Linked DNA regions of Danio rerio. The main gene of each other region encodes a partner of the protein of the gene in region 2 in a complex. Links are inferred from orthologs where the notes say so. Each region holds a gene or a part of one and is shown on either strand. Other genes may lie near its edges. The genes, in order: morf4l1 and mbtd1.

Evidence for each region.
Region 1: mbtd1 (region 2) and morf4l1 share a complex: the UniProt entries of both Homo sapiens proteins name them as parts of the nuA4 histone acetyltransferase complex. The link is inferred for Danio rerio from reciprocal best matches to the Homo sapiens genes MBTD1 and MORF4L1.

Annotation. Positions count from the first base shown.
Region 1 is NC_133193.1:21,420,392-21,425,017, reverse strand, and holds the start of morf4l1 (mortality factor 4-like protein 1), read right to left. Parts: upstream 2,831-4,626; 5' UTR 2,648-2,830; coding exon 2,608-2,647; intron 2,535-2,607; exon of another isoform or gene 2,014-2,534; intron 1,666-2,013; coding exon 1,619-1,665; intron 1-1,618. UniProt on the Homo sapiens protein: Component of the NuA4 histone acetyltransferase (HAT) complex which is involved in transcriptional activation of select genes principally by acetylation of nucleosomal histones H4 and H2A.
Region 2 is NC_133187.1:35,466,080-35,470,377, forward strand, and holds the start of mbtd1 (MBT domain-containing protein 1), read right to left. Parts: upstream 2,961-4,298; 5' UTR 2,815-2,960; coding exon 2,794-2,814; intron 1,777-2,793; coding exon 1,575-1,776; intron 1-1,574. UniProt on the Homo sapiens protein: Chromatin reader component of the NuA4 histone acetyltransferase complex, a multiprotein complex involved in transcriptional activation of select genes principally by acetylation of nucleosomal histones H4 and H2A.

The DNA.
Region 1 (4,626 bases), on a different chromosome or scaffold from region 2:
CTGATACTATTTTTTCTTCTGGAGAAAGTCTTACTTGTTTTATTTCGGCTAGAATAAAAGCAGTTTTAGATTTTTTTAAAACAGTTTTAAGGTCAAAATTATTAGCTCCTTTAAGCTATATTTTTTCAATAGTCTACAGACCATTATTATACAATAACTTGCCTAATTACCCTAACCTGTCTAGTTAACCTAATTAACCTAGTTAAGCCTTTAAATGCCACTTTAAGCTGTATAGAAGTGTCTTGAAAAATATCTAGTCAAATATTATTTACTGTCATCATGGCAAAGATAAAATAAATCAGTTATTAGAAATGAGTTATTAAAACTATTATGTTAAGAAGTGTGTTAAAAAAAACATACTCCATTAAACAGAAATTGGGGAAAAAAATAAACAGGGGGGCTAATAATTCTGACTTCAACTGATATTCCAAAACTTTTTATTTAGTCCATTCTTTTTAACATAATATTGTATTATCATGTAGACAACATACAGAAAGTATAAATATATCCTCTAGTAAATATTATAACAAATAAATAAGTCTAAAATATTCAGATGCATCAAAATAAACTTTTGCTACCAGCAAACTATGTTTATATATTAAACTATATACTTTACTACATCTGTCTTATATACACCTCTGAGCTAGCTAACTTAAACTGACTTCATCACTGCTCTTATCAAATGTCCAATCTGCATTATTCTCATTGTCACCATCTCATCCTCACGTTCATCTGTGGGAAGAGCCAGTTGTGTCCTTTTCTTCTTTCACTAACTATAGAACATTGTGGTCCTCACTAATACACTGTTCCTTGTATTTATATCTAATCAAATGCACTGCCATTAAAATTAGATTTAACCATAAAGCAAATGCCATTAACATACAACTAATCAACGTTATATTACTAGCATTCATGTTGTTATTGTTACAACTTTAAAGACCACAGCTGAGCTGACCTAGCTAGCTAATCTATCGCAATATCGCACATTCCTCTATTGTACAGCATTTCCATTTGCTAGCACATACATTTGATCGACTTACAAAATGCTAATTTGATCAAAATCTTTTTGAGTTGTGAATATGTCATCATAACTTATTGGATGTGATGTCTCAGATTTTGTTTGTGGATCTGGCATGGGTTGATGCTTTGATTTTATTGACTTTTTCATTTGCTTTCAGCAACTATTCAAAATAAACGCCAGTCTAACAGAAACCAAGCCACAGAAAAACACTGCACGTCATGTGACTTAACCGAAGCACATCATTGGCTACACTAAGGTCTTCTCTTTCCAATAACCACAAAAAAACAAAAAAAACAAACAGAACGTTGGTCTTAAAGAAACACTGGCAGAAGAAGAAGAACAGTGGCACTGGCAAAAATTAACGGTATTATGTTGCCATATGGCAACACCATGGGGTAGAGGGCTAACTATACAAAAACAAATCCCTTTACTTGACACAGAAAACAATACCAAAGCATTAATATGATAAACAAAACCACTACAAACACATGACTACATTTACACTATAAATGTAATGCCATTCAGGTACTGCTTTCAGGAAAACAAATATCAAAAAGCCTTTTGAAGCATGCATAATGGCATGAATGATTCAGGTACCTTAGCTTCGTATAGCAATGGCCCATGAAAGCACAGCACTCGTTCACCTGAAAAAACATCAGAAATATTAATATACAATGACATCCACTAATGGGCTAATAAATAAAATAGAAGTGTTACATATTCAAATATGTGTGTGGGCACAGAATATTGTACTTTCAGAAAATGCCACAACAAAGAAATGTTTTAAATGTATAGTAGATTTATAACAGTCTGCAGTATATTTACCATATTGTTTGTTTGAATCATAATTAAGCTCATTATAACCAAAATATAATTAGCATTTTCAATACACAATACTTAAACAAACGAGAAATACGCACATTTAAAACCTGCTTATATAGTCAAACAATACATCAAATCTGACTGTTTACTTGACATATGCGTTTACTTACAATCACCAACAATATTAACTCATATTAGAGTCCCAGTTCAGGAATCAGATTCAGAATAGAACACTGTTCTAAAGATTCGATTCTATAGAACGATTCATTCAGTTATCAAAAATTGCTAATGGTCATTTTAATGCAATAATATAGCCTTTCTTTGCTCATTATCGACTTCAGTTTTAGAACAGCTCCGAGCTAACGTCGTTGTTTTTACGCTTCAAATAAGTAAATGACTGTTCCCGCCAGGACTTCAATACTGCAATGGCCGCTTCCTGTAAACAAGGCCTGCTGTATGCTAACGGCTACATCATAGACAACAGCTAATGTTTTGTTTCAGGAACACGCCGCTGTGTGCGTCTGCAGAGGCTGTCAGATGCAACGAAAAGCACCAACGTGCGATCATGCACTCGCTTGACAGGTGATGAACAACTCTGCACAAGTTAAAGGCGGCAACTCTCAGCTAAAAAGTGTTTTGTAACAGACAGCTCGCCGTGCGCGCGCGCCATTGTGCAGCGGCAGCGCCCGCTTCCTTTGCACGGCAGAATGAGAGGATCCCCGATCGACGGGTGACTCTCGTGGATGAAACAAAGCGCATCTTACCTTCTTGAAATTTAGGTTTAGGGTCCTGTTTAGGCGCCATTCACAGATTAAACAATAAAAATAGCTGGAAAATCAAATCCAGGCATTGCCAGCTCCGATTTAATTCACGCAGGGTGAAGGCGCCGCGCTGCGTTCCTATGACGCACTTTACTGGCGCCCTTGTCAGGTGACTCTCATAATAAACAGCGTTTATCCAGCAGCCCCTGTTGACGAATGACAGAAGTTGTGCTCTACTCACGGCAATACATGTAAATAAGTGCATTTATGCAGATATATTTCAACGTTACGCCACGCCTCTTCTATAATTTATGTTTTTATTTCTTGTTAAAATTTAAAGGGGTAGCTGCACCAAAAACAAAACAATTGAGGTTATGCAAGGTGTACACGACTTTTGTTTATATATATATATATATATATATATATATATATATATATATATATATATATATATATATATATATATATATACATATATATATATATATATATATATATATATATATATATATATATACATATATATACATACATACATACATACATACATACCATACACACAGTTCTCAGCATAAATAAGTACACCCCTCACAAATCTATCTTTTAAATTCATATTTTTAATAGGAATCTATACTATATTAGTCAGTACTGAAGCAAATCTGGAGCCTATCTAACAAAATAACTTACGATAACAGTCCAAAAATAAGTACAGCCAAATTTATGTTATAGAAAAAAATATTAAATGCAAATTTAAGAAAAGAGAAAAATAAATAAATAATATTTTTTTTATAGGTTGTAAGTTTTTTTGGGGCCATATTTTGCTTGAATTTAATTGTATTATCTTTAAAAAAATTTATGTTTGGTGACTAAAATATTATTTCATTAAATAAATTTGTTTAATAAATTTGTTTCGTTTAAATGCACCACAATACATTGCCTATATTCACTGACAATTGGATACACATATGTGTGTACTTAATTATGCTCAGCACTACACACACACACACACACACACACACACACACACACACACACACACACACACACACACACACACACACACACACACACACACACACACACACACACACACTTTTAAGTCAGAATTATTACACCGGCCCCTCCGGTGTAATATCTTTTTATTATAAAAAGATATTATCTTTTTATAATATTTCTAAATTATGTTTAACAGAGCACAGTATGTCTGATTATATTTTTTCTTCTGGAGAAAGTCTTATTTGTTTTATTTCGGCTAGAATAAAAGCAGTTTAAAATTTATTATGTATCATTTTAGGGTCAAACCTATATTAGCTCCTTTAAGCAAAATTTTTCAGACTGTGTACAGAACAAACCATCGATATACAACAACTTGCCTAATTACCCTAACATGTATAGTAAACCTAGTTAAGCCTTTAAATGAGCTAAGCTGTATAGAAGTCTCTTGAAAATTATCTAGTTAAATATTATTTGTCACCATGGCAAAGATAAAATAAATCAGTTATTAGAAATAAGTTATTAAACTATTATGCTTAGAAATTTGTTAAAAAACAATCTTCTCTCTATTAAATGGAAAGAGAATTACAATCAAACCTGAAAACATTAACCAGAAACAAAAGTGCAACACATCAAGGTTTCCTTCATTTGTTCGTTTGTTCAATCATTGATTTCAGTGTGCCACTCCAAGGGTGGCCCCAGACATCCAATATTACAGGTGGAGTGGCGTACCATCCATCCCACATATAAGACAGAATTTTTAACTAATCAGCCACTATTCTTAATTGAAGCTTGATACATTGCTATTGAGTGTTCAGCAGTTTCTTGACAATATAAACCTCAAGAGGAAATTTAAACGTTTTTTTTCCTTGTGACAATTATATTCTTTGTATACCATTTGATGCAGGATTTATCCCATTGCGCATAGTAATTATATGAAATTATAGTCAGAATTATTTATTATATCAATATTTATTTAGAGGTCAACCTTATTGTACAATAAATAGTGAAATATGCAAAGAGAACACA
Region 2 (4,298 bases):
TATTTATTCTCAACAACAAACCAGTAAACAAGTAAACAGGGCACCAAATACAATTTCTCATTAGAAACAATACTGTACCGTTTCTTTTCATAACATTGCTTGTGTCAGGTTTAAAATTAGGGATGTGCAATATGACAATATATGGACTAAATCAAACGTTTATCGTTTCATATTATTCTCTATCTTTTATTTCACGGTGGCACTACAGTAATACTTATAATTCATTTGACCGCAATTTTACACTGCATTATGTGGAAGCAGACATAAACATGAATAAAAGCATCATGAAAAAGTTGCAATATTGAAAGTGCAACGTCTACATTTTGCAATATTTTATGTTAGGCCTGCATTCATCTTATTTTTCATTAATTTTCATTTTATATTACTTCATTCCTAAAAAATTTGCCCTGAAGTTCTGAAAAAAATTAAAGATATGATCACATATAAATAAGAATGAATTACATTTTAACAGAGTATATCCCTTAAAATGTAAAGAAAAAAGACATTTCCTTTCTATTTAGTGAATGTTTATTAGGGATGCACCGATAATATTTTTGGCCGATATCCATAACTGTTGAGATTTGGAGGCTGATAACCGATATATTAAAGCCGATAAATATAAATATTTCAAAATTTGATATTTTTATACAGTGAACAGCTGATTTTGTTTTTAAAAACTTAATAAAAGTTTGAACTGATATTTGAATAGCCTACTTAAAGCAATAAAAGCAATAATTTCAAAATTGTAGGTGATTATATAGACCTATATTTATGATTTCACATAAATTAGCATGCCAAAAATAAATGATTTCCTTTTCTTTGCATAGCAAATTAACATGCAACTTGACTGTTGCATAAAAATAATAGGTTAAATAACAAAACAAGATTTAATTAACAAACAAGTTAAATAAATAGTAAAACGAAAATGAAAGAACACAGAACTGAAAACAGCGCAAATGTTCTTGAATAAACCGTGGTTTAGTAATGTACATATGTAGAACTATGCAATGTCCAAAAAAGCATTTTGTGAGGTGTTTTGACAGTTCAGAGCAACAGTACAAGCAAAAAGATAATACAGATAGACAGTATGTTTTACTTTAGAAAAATCGGCATAAATTCATCCTATTTGGCGTTTTAGATTCTTTTGAACATATAGACGCTTCTTGTCAGACGCTTTTATGATCATTTTTGCTGTCAATAAAAAATGTGAGGAAAGCTTCATTATAGTGCACTGGACAGTTTTGACCCACGCATTCTCGAGGCAGGCAGTTCTGTACAATTACGTAATCTATCAGCTTAAAGATATATGCCTAATTTTGATATTGGATCGATAATAATAACATTAAAAATAGCATTTAACGCCCTATAACAATATGGCCACCGATATATCGTGCATTCCTAAATGTAGATAAACTATTAATTAATTGAATTTAGAAAAAAGATGTATATATCTTGCCATATATCTTTAAGAATATGTGATGACTTTTATCATGATATAGGATTGTCATATCGCCCAGCCATAATTTAAATAATATTTAGGTATGTTTTTTGACTTTTGTATCCACATGACTAACCCATTCCTGCTTTCCCGTCAGGATAGGTGTACACCTGGCCATTGTTTTTGATGATAGGCAAACTGGCAGGGATGCTGGGAACTTCATCTTCACTGTCCTCCGAGCTGGAGCTGCTACTGCTGTCTTCACTGCAGCTGTCATACCCGTCAAACATCCCGAACGAATCTCTCCTCTTCCGCTCTGAGCGGGGAGTGTGCTCAGCCTACATGTGACGAGGTGAGACAAAAAAAATGGAGAATATTAAAAAGAGAGAGAGAGAAGGAAGGAGTAATGTTAAATTAAAGTAAGGGCAAAGAAAGACAAAAGGATTACAGCTCTCTTGCACAACCATAATACTTTAATAAATGACCACCTTTGACATGATACACCATGATTAATATTGTAACTAGTAATAACCACAATCTTTAAAAGAGGGAATTAGGAGGCGGCTCAAATCACATTATTAAAATTAAAGGCTTCCAAGGGTCACAAGAAGCAAATATCATGTACAAAGCACTAAAGATTCTACACAATTATCTCAAGCCAGAATATAAAAGGCGCATATATATATATATATATATATATATATATATATAATTTAAATTTGCTGCATTTTGAGAAATTACATATTTATATTCATCAATACTTCAACACTAGACTGTAGAAGGACTCCAATACACTGTGACCTGATTTCAGAATGAACATTTTGGGACCTTTTCTTCCCCTGAAAGAGTACCATTTCAATTCTCATCTCCTAACATTCAATTTTACCACAAATTAATGCTGTTATTATCCCTATTAACTACAAGTGAATGATTTTAGGTCATATTACAAGCCCTCACAACACAAACAGGCACATACGCTTATCTTAAGCCCTAGTAAGATGCCTGCTCGTACATAACAGCTCGTGAAAACGTTTTAACGCATATGCGAGCCTCGTAAAAACTGTGTGTTGGGAAACAAACACAAACATTTCCACATTCATTGGCCTGCGGGTCTATTGCAGCAGCACAAAACATATACATTACCAACTGTATTAGCACCATTTAATAAGACAGCTTATTTGAATGAAATGTTATATGGCATAGAAAGAATTACGAGTGATTCGAATGAGGTAAACGCTGTAGTTTGTGTGACGAGCAGGATCTGTTTCTGACAACCAAAACAAAGAGGACGGCTAACTGCTAAGCCGCTAACTGAGCTAAATCAAGGAAGCGGGCTCAAATAAACTCTTTCTTACCATATCCCTTGGGTTTTCCATTAGCCCTTCATGCAAGTCGGTATCTTACGTTTGTTGTGGTATGATCCGACAGCCCCCCGGAGGGAAAGGGCCTGGCTTGAAATTATTTTACTCTATAGCAAAAAATAACTCCAGTTGATTATCAACAATTGTCATGGCTCGAGAGTGCGCGTGCGCAGGGATCTACAATGATTGACATATGTTTTAGCCAATCACCGTTCACGTGTTCGGCACATTTACCCCATATTTGGTCACAGGAAATGTTTGAGTGAGGGAGAATGATTACAGATCAAATAAAATCGGATTTAGTGGTGGGAATAGCAGATTTATTGACCCTAACATTAAAATAGAATGTTTACGGTCATAGCTTAAAGGCAATATAATTTAACAGGTTGTAACAATGGTAGCGACGATAAATGTAAACAGATATTTGTTACAGAAATGCTAAGATTCCTGTAGGATGTAAAATTCATGGTATTGCTTTCTTCTACCAGAAACGTACATTATCTGTCTCTGAAATATAAATATAAACATAAATACAGTGGATAAAAGTATTTCATCCCACAAATGTCTAAAATGGACTGATGGTTGATTTCTGTGAGTTGTTCTGTAAATGAATGTCATTCTTGTCAGATTATTTTTCTTTATTAAAAACACTTTACAAATGTACAAACCCTGTCATTGTCCTTGTACTCAGCTCAATTTAACCTACAGCTTTAACAGTTTTGTTATGCTAAAAACTGTTATTTAAAAGTTTAAGCTGTGATCATTCACATCAATTGATTAAAAAAAACATGAAATTATAAATTCTACAAATACATACTACAAATATTATGAATCAAAGAAATGTACAATTGTCCCCATGTTTCTGTCAGTCCAGTCACATCTGCATCAACATAAAATTCCTTTAAGGCTATGACATCGAAAGTGACATCATCTGATGGAGGAGAAGCTGAGTGCGATCAAGGATGCGTTCCATCATTGAATTCTTATGATTTTATACTTGTTTTGTATGATTTTTTTGAGGGCGACAAGCTTGACAAGCCCAGTCACATTTTTATAAGTGGATTTTTCTAAGCATGATAGTTTTATTAACTCATTTTATTTTATCTTTGCCATAATGACAGTAAATAATATTTTGCTTGATGTTTTTCAGGACACTTCTAAGTGACATTTAAAGGCTTAACTAGGTTAATAAGGTGAACTAGGCAGGTTACGGTAATTAGGCAAGTTACTGTATAATGATGGTTTGTTCTGTACACTATTGAGAAAAAAAATTAGCTTAAAGGGGCTTATAATTTTGTCCCAAAAATGGAAAATAAGACTTTTTCCAGAAGAAAAAATATTATCAGACATAGTGTGAAAATTTCCTTGCTCTGTTAAACATCATTTGGAAAATATTTAAAAAAGAAAAAAAATCAAAAGGGGGCTAATAATTCTGACTTCAACTGTATATCATGGCCCTCATATGTATTTCTTTTCTAACATTGAAATTGCTGTTACTA